Arabidopsis thaliana: one gene and its partners. The protein of the gene in region 1 interacts with the protein of each later gene in a pairwise test. Each region holds a gene or a part of one and is shown on either strand. Other genes may lie near its edges. The genes, in order: AT4G24090, PIP1A and PIP1;4.

What was found.
Region 2: the proteins of AT4G24090 (region 1) and PIP1A interact in a two-hybrid assay, tested with the Arabidopsis thaliana proteins (one large-scale study listed by BioGRID).
Region 3: the proteins of AT4G24090 (region 1) and PIP1;4 interact in a two-hybrid assay, tested with the Arabidopsis thaliana proteins (one large-scale study listed by BioGRID).

Annotation. Positions count from the first base shown.
Region 1 is NC_003075.7:12,510,675-12,515,181, reverse strand, and holds AT4G24090 (homer protein), read right to left. Parts: upstream 2,518-4,507; 5' UTR 2,441-2,517; coding exon 2,054-2,440; intron 1,605-2,053; coding exon 1,244-1,604; intron 894-1,243; coding exon 715-893; 3' UTR 525-714; downstream 1-524. Other genes in the region: AT4G24100 (Protein kinase superfamily protein), read right to left, coding at 109-131; ALL1 (aldolase like), read right to left, coding at 2,892-3,224, 3,352-3,557, 3,642-3,798.
Region 2 is NC_003074.8:22,731,225-22,736,017, reverse strand, and holds PIP1A (plasma membrane intrinsic protein 1A), read right to left. Parts: upstream 2,776-4,793; 5' UTR 2,362-2,775; coding exon 2,034-2,361; intron 1,770-2,033; coding exon 1,474-1,769; intron 1,236-1,473; coding exon 1,095-1,235; intron 1,001-1,094; coding exon 905-1,000; 3' UTR 624-904; downstream 1-623. Other genes in the region: CYSC1 (cysteine synthase C1), read right to left, coding at 1-133; AT3G61420 (BSD domain (BTF2-like transcription factors, Synapse-associated proteins and DOS2-like proteins)), read left to right, coding at 4,258-4,323, 4,422-4,500, 4,588-4,649, 4,736-4,793. UniProt on the Arabidopsis thaliana protein: Water channel required to facilitate the transport of water across cell membrane. Its function is impaired by Hg(2+).
Region 3 is NC_003075.7:184,777-189,467, reverse strand, and holds PIP1;4 (plasma membrane intrinsic protein 1;4), read left to right. Parts: upstream 1-1,787; 5' UTR 1,788-1,936; coding exon 1,937-2,267; intron 2,268-2,570; coding exon 2,571-2,866; coding exon of another isoform or gene 2,867-2,899; exon of another isoform or gene 2,900-2,994; coding exon 2,995-3,135; intron 3,136-3,229; coding exon 3,230-3,325; 3' UTR 3,326-4,183; downstream 4,184-4,691. UniProt on the Arabidopsis thaliana protein: Aquaporins facilitate the transport of water and small neutral solutes across cell membranes.

The DNA of each region.
Region 1 (4,507 bases):
ATCAGAAACCAGTAATTTCGCCTTCAGATACAACAAATCAAATGAATTTAACACAGAAGAAGAAGAAACAAAATCTGGAGCTGAGAGAGATAGAGACTAGTAGTTTACTCGAGAACAAGTCGAAACCCCATTGAAATTGGATACTAATTTTTTAATTTTTTGTATAGAAAAATAATAATTCAGCTGTTTTTCACTTTCTGCTTGCTATATTTTTCTGATCAGTTGACCTCCACGACAAAACGCGATTTGAGAGCGATCGAAAGACAAAAGAACTGTTTTGTGCTGACGTGGTATATCTGTAAGCTTCTAAGATTATTACACGTGGCTTTACTATAAATAATGAATGGCTAGGAATGGCCTTGACCCCATCTACCTCTTTGGTTAAGTTCACAAGTCACTAATCACTTCATCACTTGACAAAGATAAATATTCCTCATAACTTTTTATACAAAGTTAAAAGAAAGAATTATCCCAACTGATTCATTTTTTATAGCAAAATTTGAATTATGTATGGATTCATCATTCTAAATTCAATATTCCTTATGATCATGCTTTTAAAATCAGGTGTAACTTTTTTTGTGACAAGTTAAAGATCATAAAAATCTAGGATGAAACATTTACATTTTAGACCAAAATTAATAATATAAAAAAAAACAAATAAAGTCTTCAAAAGAAGATTTTGTTCATTTCTACATTTTTAATTTGCTCTTCAATCTAGTCAGAGCTAGGAAATGGTCTTAAGAGCTTCATCTTGAAACAGAAGTCCAAACCTATGGACGCAAACGCAAATATCAAGACGCTCTGAGACACCAAAACGGCGCCGTCTATCCCATGTGAAAACAAGCTTTCCCAGCTCAGCTCCAATGGCGGTCCTCTGCTCAACATACCAAGTCCTATATAACACATTAAAAAAAATCGAATCTATAATAAATCTGTTTTTAAAAAAAGACAGATCCAAATAATACAGGTCAGAGACTAATAATCAACTCATCAATTATTTAGAATAAATCAAATCGTTGATTAGTAATCTATTACTGGCAGATTATAATTTAAAAACAACCAAAGGGCGGGACAACGATGGGAACTTTGCCAGCTCATACTTCCACACAATATATAACATGACAAAGACAAAGAAAGTCTTTTTCTTTTACCATTTCTGTTAAGCTTATTCAATCACAAAACGCAATTGCTTTTGAACAATTCAAAGAAGTTAGATAGAAACAGTAATCAAATGTGTTGTTACCTTTAACAAACCCAAAAGCTGCAACGGCTCCGGATTTGAGATGATTATCATCCAAGTCTCTTCTGACTGCATACCTGAATGTGACTCCAAACAATGCACAGCTTGCAAACGCTATTCCCAGGGGCAGAACAAGCTGCTCCATGCTTGCGACTTGAGAAAGAGCAAATGGGAGTTCCGCAATGGTCCCAACCGCAGCTGCGATCACTGCCGCTTTTGCAGATTCTAACCTCTCCTTGTCTTTATCAATCGAATAACCTTTCTCCGAACTTCCAATTGTCGAGTTATCTGCTAATGACAAGGAGCGTTCTGCTTCCTCAACCATTGATCTTGCTGCGTCAATCTCCTGCTGGCATTCTGCAATCTTGAATCAGATATTGAATAAGATTAACATGCTCTGTCTACAAATACAAAACCAAACTAGAGACTTTGTTCCAAAACACGAGAAAACACAAAATGCAACCAAACTCATGATTTAGTTAGTAACCTTATCTAATGAAGTACCTTCACACAAACTAAGAGAAACCCCATTTCCAGGTTTCAAGCACAAAAGCAACACCATTGATATTGATTGATACTTTGAATTACCTATCCTATCCTAAGCATACAATGCACAACTTGAGCTTATCCTGGCATATAAATATATACTGCACAAATTCACTAGTCCATTGTAATATAAACCAATCATTCTCAATGCAACCTTAATCTATACTCTATAGTAGAACCTCCCAAAAACCTCAAATTCCAAAGAGCAAAAGAATCAAATGTTCAATCATTTTCATATCTAACACCATTTCGAGAACAAGCTCTCACCTCTGCGGCTCTTGATTCGAGCTGATTAATATAATCCTGTAGCAATTTCGCCTCAATTTCTTGTCTCTCTATATCTTCGAGCTCTCTCTTCGCAATCTCCACTCTCAACGAAGCTTTTTCCAGACCATCAAGCAAACCTTTGTTCTCTTCTCTGCTCAATAGCTCCTCCACTTGATTTCCCACAATACCGGACAGAGAATTCTTCAAATCTCCGCCGTCACTCGAAATTGCTACATTATCTTCCGACGAACTTCTAATTCTCCAGTTTCGAGTTCTACGATACTGAGAACTCGAGGCAGTCAATTGCTTGGGATTCAAAAGATTAATTTCAGGTAAAGTCACTGAATTTGGTTTCCATGGAAGCGATTGCAGAGATAAAGATTGCATTTTGATAAAGAAAAAGAAAATCTTCGAGTTCTTATCTGGTTGCGAAGAGTGGCCACTAAAACGGAATGAAAAACGACACGATTTTTAAAATGCAACGATGCATCAGCATTAGCCTTTACTGGTACTGAAATCCACGAAACGACATGCATTCTAATATTTCGAAACGGCATGCATTTCAGTTCTCCAAAGAAATCAAAGCAAACTATTTGAGAAGTGTTTGACCCGCATAATCACTTTTTCTTTAGTAACACCAGAGCTAAACACTGTTAATGCGGCTTTAAATTTTCTTTTGGATAATGCGAATCTTAACAAGACTTGCTCAAAAGTCAAAACTAACAAAGTAGTAGACATAACTAACAAAGTAGAAGATAATCATGGGGTACATAAACTCATCACTTATTACAAAGCACTCTAATTCCCGTTTTATTCAGACTCTAATCTAATTCCGACACTACGCTTTAAAAGCGTTGACCTCATCAACCACAGCCTTCTTGTACAGCGACACATCGGTTGACCCGAGCACCACGTGATACCCACGTGCCTTGAGATCACCGGTTTTGTCCTGAGCCGTGGCCATCCCTGCCAAGTAAGCTCCACCATTCGCCGGATCAGAGGCCAACACCGCCGTCTCAGCCACCCTCATGACCGACTTCACCTTCGGGTTTCCTGGATCGTTAAGTAACCCCAAACTCGCACTCAGATCTCTCGGCCCCATCATCACACAATCCATCCCATCAACGGCTATGATCTCCTTCACATTTTTCATACCTTCCTCTGATTCAATCTGCACAAAATATATCAATTGCATAAAAATTCTAACTTCCATTTTTTTCACAAGTAGGCATTTTAGAATTCAATTTAACAATTTCGTCCAATAAAATTGAAAATCAAAGGGGATTTGAGGATCGAACCTGGCACATAATGAAGAGCTTATCAGCGTAATTACCCAAATACCCTTCGTTAAATCCGAAGCTGGAGTCTCTCACAACGGAGTAAGCACAGCCGCGAACACCGTCAGGACGATACAGGCAAAACGAGACCGCCTCGGATGCAGATCTTCCGGTTTCGACCATTGGGAACATAATGCCGTCGGGTCCGAGATCTAACGCTTTCTTAGCTCAAGCCTGACTAATGTCGGGTACACGGAGGACAGTGGAGCAACCAGCGGCTTCGATTGCTCGAATGCAGTGAAGCGCTTCACGAATCCCGCCGGCACCGTGCTCAAGGTAGACGACAATGAAGTCAAATCCAGCTCTTGCAGCGATCTCTGCAAGCTCCGGAGAAAAGGAGAGAAGAAAGTGGCCGAGAAGCTTTTCTCCATCTTGGAGACGTGATTTCAGAGATTTTTTGGTCGCCATTGTGACTGAGAGAAGTGGAGGAGGGTGATGAAGAAGGAGAAGAAGAAGAAGCGTTAATAGAGAAGAAGAAGAAGAAGATTCATTCCTTTCATTGCATGCGATTTATTTCCTTTTTGTTGTTGTCAACATTATTCTCTTTCCAATTAATTTGAGAATTTAATTGGGTTGGTAAAACCATATTCTAATTTTCGGTGATCTGTTATTAATCCAAAGATATTTTTCTTAATATCATTTCTTATTTAAGACGAAATTTTAGACGTTTGAATTTTTGATTAAAACAAACAAAAATGAGTTATTACGTGGAGTTTAAAAGATATAAAGTTTGTACTTTATTCGAGTAGTACTTTTGGATTTATGTTATGTACATAAACTTTTTGTTTTCTCACACGCTTCCAAACAAAATAATGCACTTTTAACATTGGTCTGAATCTGACATGTGCATACAATGTGAGTGACGATTTAACATAAACAATAACAAGAACAAATGTGAGTGAAAGTAATCAGTATGATTAACAAATTTAATATGACAACACCCAATCTCTAACTTAAGCTCCAGAATTACAAGAGAAGAGAATTAAGTTGGTCTTGCATTTTGTTTGGTTTCTCTAATTATTTCCAACTCGATGAAAAGGTTATCTAAGACTGCAGTCTCCAGATAGCGTCGACATCAAGAGTTTGTCTCTACAGTACATTGTCTTCGTACAACCGC
Region 2 (4,793 bases), on another chromosome or scaffold:
GGAAGTCTTTGGGGAGATCTCTGAGTCTCTGAGCAAAAGAAGGAGATCCAACGGTGGAGAAGAGTTTCCTCACGGTGTGGCTGAAACAGGGGATCGTCTCTCTCCTCAGTAACCTCCTTGAAACAGAGGCCATTGTTGTCGACTAAAACGGAGTAACCGAAGTTTGAAGAGACAAGAGAGTGAAGAAAAGTTTAGAGGAGGAGTGATTGGTGAGGTGGAGAAGAAAGCAATCATATAAATGGATGAGAAAACGAGACAAATACATTGCATCATCATCCATTACCATTGGTGTTAAGAATATAATAATACAAGTTGCTTGTTGGAACTATGTGAGAAAAGTAATTGTGGATTTGTGGTAAGTGAAGTGTTCTTGTCAGAGTTTTATTCGTACTCGTGGAATGATCAAACTTACAGTCAACTTCTTACACCTGTTTCTAGTAAATTTTTAACTTCTTTTCTTATACAGTTTACTTTTTTCTATCGGTCAAGGAATCTTCGTGCTTTGTTGAAAAGTATTTGACAAATGGAACCATTTTTCTGATGGTTTTTGGTGGCTGTGTCTCAATTCCATTAGGATTTAGGCGAGGTTGGTGACACTGACACGTTTAAAATACCATTACAATACCTAACCGGTTAAGCGGTGATAGACCATCTTAATTTGGGTTTATATAGGTTCTCGTTTACCAATATCCATGTTAAACATCTTTGATCTGTAATAAACATGTTAAACATCATAATTTGCAAATAATTCTCCTTTGGAACTTCTTCCTTGTTTACAAATATTGCATTAAGAGGGCACATAGATAAACACATTGCACACATACATGTAGTAGATCAACAATAGAACTATAGAAGCAACTAAGGACAAGGCCAGAAACCAGAGGACTTGATGTCTTGTTTTTACTTAGCTTCTGGACTTGAAGGGGATGGCTCTGATGACAACCACATGGTAAAGAGCAGCAAGTGCAGCTCCAATGAAGGGGCCAACCCAAAACACCCACTGGAATGACGACAAAAAAAAACGAAATTGTCAGGGAAAAATGCTCGAAACCGAGTTTGGAATGCGATTTGGTATATAGTGTGTGGAAACTCACGTGGTCATCCCAGGAATGGTCTTTGTTGTAGATGATTGCAGCTCCAAGGCTTCTAGCTGGGTTGATGCCTGTGCCAGTGATTGGGATGGTTGCCAAGTGAACCAAGAAAACCGCAAACCCGATTGGGAGTGGTGCAAGAATCTGCACAATTATTACAAAACTCAAGCCGGTAAGCAACAAATCCAATATTGAGAATCAGTCTTTAGTGCACACTAATGGCAGCTTCAAGTTCACTCATTTCAATTGTTTCTAGCAATTGTTACATGGACTGGTTACTTACGGGGACATGAGAGTCACACTAAAGGCAGCTTAAAAGTTCACTCATTTCAATTGTTTCAAGAAGCTATTAGCAGATATGTTACAAGGAGTGGTAACTTACAGGGACATGAGAGTCACGAGCATTTCTCTTGGCGTCAGTTGCTGAGAAGACTGTGTATACAAGAACGAATGTGCCAATGATCTCAGCTCCAAGACCACTTCCCTTGGTGTAACCATGAGCCACAGTGTTAGCTCCTCCTCCTAGAGCCTGGTATTGCTTAGGCTGGAACCCTTTAACCACTCCAGCACCACAGATAGCTCCCAAGCACTGCATCACTATGTAGTACAGAGCTCTAGTAAGCGACAGCTTCCGGGCTAAGAACAGACCAAAAGTAACCGCTGGGTTGATGTGTCCACCTGAGAGTTACATATAAAAAAAATACATTCCAAGATTAGGCTAAAGGACACAATTCATATTAGAAAACTGCAAATTCCACCAAGATTGTAGCTTTCTGAGATTTCTTGAATCAGATACAAATGGAACAAGTTCAGGCTAAGAAGCTATAAATCTAAACACAATTTTCTCAAGATTATAGCTTTATCGTCTTCTTTCACAACCCAAACACTCGGAAACCTAATTACAGTAAAAAGGCGTATACTTGGAGAAGTAGAGTGACTTACCGGAGATACCAGCGGTACAGTAGACTAAGGCAAATATCATACCACCGAAAGCCCAAGCGATTCCTTGGATTCCGACGGAAGCACACATGTTCGGTGACCTTTTCACTCCCATAACAGTCAAGACAGTGATGTAGAGAAAGAGAAAAGTAGCGATGAACTCAGCGATCCCAGCTCTCCAAAAAGACCATGAAGAAAGCTCACCAGGTTCGAAAAACGGAGCTGGTGGTGGTTCCTTGTAGTCCTTGTCACTCTGAGCTGATGTTCCGATTGGTTGTCTCTCCGGGAACTTGTTAGCTCCAACTCTAACGTCTTCTTCCTTGCCTTCCATATCTTCGATCTCTGTAGAGAGAAATTGTAAAGCTCTGTTTTTTTTCTTCTTCTTCTTCTCTGAGTGTGGGATTTGAGAAAGTAGAGTGGTTAATTATATAGTTGGAAGATGTAATGCAAAGAAAGTTGAGAAATAAAAAATAAAGACGATGATGACAAATTGACAATAACATAAAATTTTGTTAATGTTATCTTCGTAGTAATCATACTTACTAAATAAATCTAATTATTGGATTGGGTCAGTGATAATTTAACCGTTTGGACTTTGGACAGAGTTTTGAATGCTCCATTCCAGCTATTTTTGTAGTTTTATCAGTAATGTTTTCTAATCAAAAATAGATCAATGTCTGTTTTTAATAATCCCTCATGATTGTCACTAATTTGGTTAGTTACTAACTGTTACGAACAAAACATGATCCTCCAGTTGAGATGATCTGGCGTTTGCCAGCCAGGATAAGAAGTTAAGAACATCTGTACCATAAGCACCATGCACATTCATTATGTACCATGACTATGACATTCTCCATAATGATTAATGAGTGTACCTACAGAGTTGGGAAATTAAGAGATAGTACCAATAATTCTGTTTTTTCTCTCTTCATGATCGTCTAAACTAACTTTTTTTATTTATGATGATTGATAATCGTTATCGAACTAGTGAATAAATTTTTTCTATCATCAAAGTTACAAAGCACTGGTTTGTGCCAAGATTACAAATTATTTGTTCCTACCACAAAACGTAAGTAGTGTACTAATTGCCAAATAGAAAAGACAATGTTAAAGAAAACAAAAACATGCTTAGTGGTTGCTATATTGTTCTGGAATGGGCCCTATGGCCCTACGCTCTTGTAGCATCCAAGGGCCATCTTGATTACCACCTAGTATTTTCCAACTCCTTATCAATCATTTTGACACTGTAATTAAGTAATTAATGATAAAAAAGGCTCATGTGAGATACTTTCTCAAACTAAAAATCCACATTTACACGATTTGAGGACCTTCAATCTTTAAATTATTATTTTTATATGTATATTTAAGCTGCAAAATAGAAACACTTAAAACCAAAATGTTGAAACATCAGCTAAAATCACTAGCCACTAAAAAAAAAGACCGACCCATTAAGCCTCATGACATGATAAAAGAATGTGTGAAGTGTGATTTTGGAATTTTTATGTTGGAGACTGATTATTTAATAGCCGTCCAATGCATCGACGATAAGATACGTGGAGTCATACCACCTAATGCCGGCGCCTTACATATCCAAAACCGACCATTTATCTTATGACATATGTACTCGATCAATTTATTAATTTTATTGTGGCTGCTATTCATGATTGCATTTGCCCCACCTAGCCACCCCCATTTGCGTCACGGCTCCATAAAAAAAAAAAATATTCATTGACCAAACACAAAAAAACAAGCGAAAATTACCAATGTCCTCCTAACATGAAATTAATAAGACAAATGTTATCGTCTGCCTATAATAAACTAAAAAAAAACAATAAAAAAAAGTTGCGACTTTTAGCTCGAGACAATAAATGGGCCATACATATACGGGCTTAAGCTAACAACACTACTATTGATCGCAGGCCCGGTTAAACAAGGCTCGTACACGTGGCTCTTGAGACTCATCAACTTCGGGTGTGAACTGTTGAACCATCTCAAGACATGAGCTATCACGGCTCGTACACGTGGTTCTAACCACCTCATTATCTCTCGAACTTAAAATTAACAAAATTCCCAAATTATTTAGCTATTTTTGTCTGATCTGCCGACGCTAGCCGTTCTCCTCCGCCAGATTCAAATATTTCCTCCGCCGTCGACACTCCTTACCTCCTCCGGCTCACAAACTTAATCCACCAATTTTACCATGCTTTAGAACCTTGGGCATATATCAATGGAGAAGCGAGTCAAATACAAGAGCTTTGTGAAGGATCCAGGAACTCTTGGATCCCTCGAATTAGTAAGAATACTTTAACTCTTTGCCACTATATGATTTCTATTTTTGTTTCCTTACTCAATGGTTTTTTTCTCAAAGGATCTTCCAATTTTTGTTCTCAGAGTGAAGTGATGCTGCTCTTTGTCCCAAATGATCCTAAATCAGATTTGAAGCTTAAAGTTCAGACTCACAACATCAAAAGTAAGTGTTTGATTATCCATATTGTTCATTCAGATTTATCATGAATAATTTCTCTAAATGATTATTGTGCCATGTTAAATTTCTCAGGTCAGAAATATACCAAAGAAGGATCAAATAAACCTCCTTGGCTCAATCTGACCAGCAAGCAGGTTGTTTTTCCTCGGCCCTTTTTGCTCAAGGCTAAAAAATATTGATAGGTGTATCACTGAAGTTTCCTCGTCTTTGATTATTACAGGGAAGGAGTCATATCTTTGAGTTTGAAAATTATCCTGACATGCATGCTTGTCGTGATT
Region 3 (4,691 bases), about 12 Mb from region 1:
GAGTCTATGAATGTCATATTATAGACATACGTATGCGGCTTTGGTCGGGACCGGCCCAATAAAACAATACACATGTTCAACGGGTTCTTCCACGTGTCAAACTTATGTTGGCTGGACGGTATGTGACTGTGCATTGTGGTTACGTTTCCAAAATGAATACGTAAGAACTTTTCCTAAATTATGTCTTTTGCACAATACTGTAAGTCTGTAACTATGGTACTAAACATTATAATATCGAATTGGAAACATTTACATTTGAGAATTTTAGTGTTTGTTGGCAACGAAGCATGTGAGATCACAGAGAAGCAATACTCATCTCTGAGCTGTTCAAACAGTTTTACATGTCAGCACCCAAATATAGTCACTATATTCAAAAACAAAATTATTTACTTGCATTCAATGCTAGCCTTTTTTATTCGGTCCACAACAAATTATAAATATTTGTATATAAGAAAAATCAGAGACCTGATTTTGTAATGCGTGGCTTGTCAATTTCAAGCAACACAGAAAAAAGCTAACTAAGCAAAAAACAAAAAAAAATAACAAGTGGCTGGTTGATAGAATGTATCTTTCATCAGTACATAACACTGTTTTTTTGTCAACGTAAAACAGATTTTTATAACTTTTGTTTGCCCTCAACTTTTTTCATTACATTTTCTGGAATATCGCATGGTTGAATAATTAAAAGTTAAAAATGATTTTTATGAAGCACGGCATTATACTATATAGTCAGTCCCAACGAAAATGACTTTACATAAAGCTGTCAATTTTTTCTCCAACGGTCAGATAATTGTTTCGTTGAATAGTCAGTTTTTTTTTTACTATTTTACTATTGGGCTTTATTGGGCTCTTACAATTTTATCGATTTTTGTTTACCGTCCAGAAAGTGGACCCTGTGGGAAGAGGAAAAGAAAAAAAAAGGGTCAGGTTTTTTGTCTTTATACGAGAGCACATCGGTACGTTCCAGAACAACCCTCTCTAGTCTCCTCCATCATTATCTTTATTTAATAGTAACCCTAGTACAAATTACCAAACTATTCAACATTAACATAATTATTCAACATTCACCATCATGAATAATAACTAGTTGAGAAAAACGTAACTAGACTAGTTTGATCTGTCAACATAAAAAGAGAAAAAAGAATTTCGTGACTAGTAAAGTTTAAGACCATTCACAAATGATCATTGAAATTATTAGTTCTAAACTCTTAGTTTGGTTATCTATTTGGTTTTGATTCGTATCTATTTGGTTATTCGGTTTTTTGGTTTTAAAGTTTAGTATTCATTCGACTATTTTGAAATTTTGGTTCGTTTTTTTTTTTTTTTTTGAAATTTAATATCCATTCGATTATTTTGCTTTTAATATTTTTAAATATTTCAATTATTTTTTGATATTTTTTGAATATTGTTACTATTTAATATATATTTTTAAATATTTTTAATTACTAAGTATAGAAATAACTAATATTTTTGAAAATAAAATTATATTTTGGATATTTTAGATCATCTAAAATATTTTAGTTAGGTACTAATTCATTTTTGGTTATTTTGATTATAAAATTTAATATCTATTCAACAATTTTTAAATTGTTGATTCAATTCGGTTCTGTTTTTTTTTTTCATTTAGGTTTAGTACATTTGGTTCAGTTTATTTGACTCTCAGTTTATTTGCCTAAGCCTTGAAATTAGGTGTTAACTATTGGTTATTCTAGTTGAAATTTGAAATAAAGAAAAAACTATACGTTATACTATTTTATTTTCTTAGCAATAACTAAAAATAAATGTTTGGAAACGTTAGGCAATTTTATTATATTCTATCGTTGTTCTCTATAAATGAAGTCTCGACCACACACTTGGTAGCTACACACGAGAAAGAAAAAGCTCACAACTTTAACCTTTCTGGAGAGAGAAGAACAAAAGAGGGAGAGGGAGAGAAATGGAAGGCAAAGAAGAAGATGTACGAGTGGGAGCTAACAAGTTCCCGGAGAGGCAACCCATCGGTACATCGGCTCAGTCCACCGACAAGGACTACAAAGAGCCACCTCCTGCGCCACTGTTCGAGCCCGGCGAGCTCAGCTCATGGTCTTTCTACAGAGCCGGAATAGCTGAGTTTATCGCTACTTTCTTGTTTCTCTACATCACTGTTTTGACTGTAATGGGAGTTAAGAGAGCACCAAACATGTGTGCTTCTGTTGGAATCCAAGGTATCGCTTGGGCTTTTGGTGGCATGATCTTTGCTCTTGTCTACTGTACTGCTGGAATTTCAGGTAACCTTCTCTCGATTTTCCCATTTTTCTGTAATCTCTGTTTTGGTGGGTTCTCTGTTTTGGTTCTGCTTTATTTGCTCTGTTTTGTTTCTGAAAACCATTATGTGAGTCCTCTGTTTTTGTTCATGCTCTGTTTGACCTAGAAAATGTAAAGGAACCAAAAACAGTTATAAAGCAGGAAACTTTGGGTTCTTTTGATGCTTGGGCTTATCTAGATCTGTATGTTACACCAATTTTACTGTTGATTTCTCAGATAAAGCTCACATCTTTGTGTAACATGTGTTTGTGTTTGTGTGTTTTTAGGTGGACACATCAACCCTGCTGTAACATTCGGTCTGTTCTTGGCTCGGAAGTTATCTCTGACCAGAGCAGTGTTCTACATGATTATGCAATGTCTTGGAGCCATCTGTGGTGCCGGAGTCGTCAAAGGTTTCCAGCCAACGCCGTACCAGACTCTCGGTGGTGGTGCTAACACCGTTGCTCATGGCTACACCAAAGGTTCTGGCCTTGGTGCTGAAATCATCGGAACATTCGTTCTCGTCTACACTGTCTTCTCCGCCACCGACGCCAAGAGAAGCGCCCGTGACTCACACGTCCCGGTATGGACCCCTCTCTTAGTTCCGGTTTGCTGATTTTATTGCTTTAATTAGACTACTAACCGATCGAATTTCCCCGGTTTTATTGGTTTAACAGTTTATGACTAATAATTGGTCACTCTCTATTGTAGATTTTGGCGCCGCTCCCAATCGGATTTGCAGTGTTCTTGGTACACTTGGCAACAATACCGATCACCGGGACCGGAATCAACCCAGCTAGAAGTCTTGGAGCCGCAATTATCTACAACAAGGACCACTCTTGGGATGACCATGTGAGTAAACAACTCTAATGAAAAGGACAACTCAAAACGTATTATGATGTTTTCTAATATATTTGAATTTGTAAAATTGTGGTGGTTGTTGCAGTGGATTTTCTGGGTTGGACCATTCATTGGAGCAGCTCTAGCAGCACTATATCACCAGATTGTCATCAGAGCGATTCCTTTCAAGAGCAAGAGTTAGAGACACACAGAAAGATTCCACGGTCCAGAATTTGTTCTTTAGTAGTTTCTTTGCTTATCTATCTAATGTAGCTTGTGTTTTGCAATGTAATGAGCCTTTCAAGAATATGTATTTGGGATTTCTAATCAGCTTTTGTCTATGTAAAAACTATGTGTTTCTTTTTTCTTCCTATACTCGTCTCAGATGCTTTATGGCAAAGGGTCTCTGAAGTCTAAGGTGATTAGTGCTCCGGTTATTGATGTTTTGAATAGTTTGTTCGACGAATATAAAATAAACATAGTCAACCCTCATTCTGTATCAACATCAAGTTCTCGGGTTGGTTTTGAGAGACATGATTATGAAGATGATCATGACTTCGTGAATGTGGGGGTTGAAGGATTGGCCTCTGTTTATGACAAGATGGTGAATGAAGAGCTTGACTATTGTGTACTTGCAAGAAAGTGTTGAAAACACAAGGGCCAATACATTGGAAACAGAATATGATGTGTTTCATACTAGAAGCTCAGTAGTCTTAAGCTTCCGGTTTTATTTGTACTAGCTAGAGATATTCTAGCTATGCAAGTTTCTTCTGTAGCTTCTGATTCTTGTTTTAGCACCAGTGGTCGGATCTTAGAGCCACAGAAAAGTTGCTTAACACATTATATGATTGAGGTCTTGTTGTGTACTGAACAATAGATGATTTAAATAATTTTTGTGATTTTTTTTTATTTTAGTTTCCTAAATTTTAGTAACAAAATCGATTTATAGATTTGATAATAAGTTTGTTAAAACATTTAATGCCAATGGCATTGGGTTGTAAATAAGTTCAAACTCCAGGATTTATTTCATAAAAGTGTTGCAAAAATATATAAGTAGATTCTGTACCGTTTGTAATATGGGTTAGTTTTTGATATTTTTTCTCCGTTATTATTTTGTTTGTTTTCGATATTATTTGTTTTTTTTTACAAATAATTTTGTTTTTTTTATTGCATCATTCTATTATAACCCGATTGACAATAAATAACCAAATTTTTCTTTATCGGTTAAAAAACTTTAAATGATTTATTATTTGTTTATATTTTAGATTGTGCATATATTTCTTTGATTCAGTATTATGTGTTTTAAAAAATTTGAATCATAATATATGCAGAAAAAACAAGAAATTTATTAACCATATATAATTTATAATAATTCAAATAATATAAGTACATAAAATCAAATAAAAGTGAAATGAGAATTATGTATTTATGTTTATTAGGTAGAGAGGTTTTAGAAAATTAGCCCAAACATTTTATATTAGCATTAAATCATCATATTTAATTTTTTATCTACAAAAATTGTAAAGAATATACCATATATAAAAAATTTAGATATAGTAATTATTTTT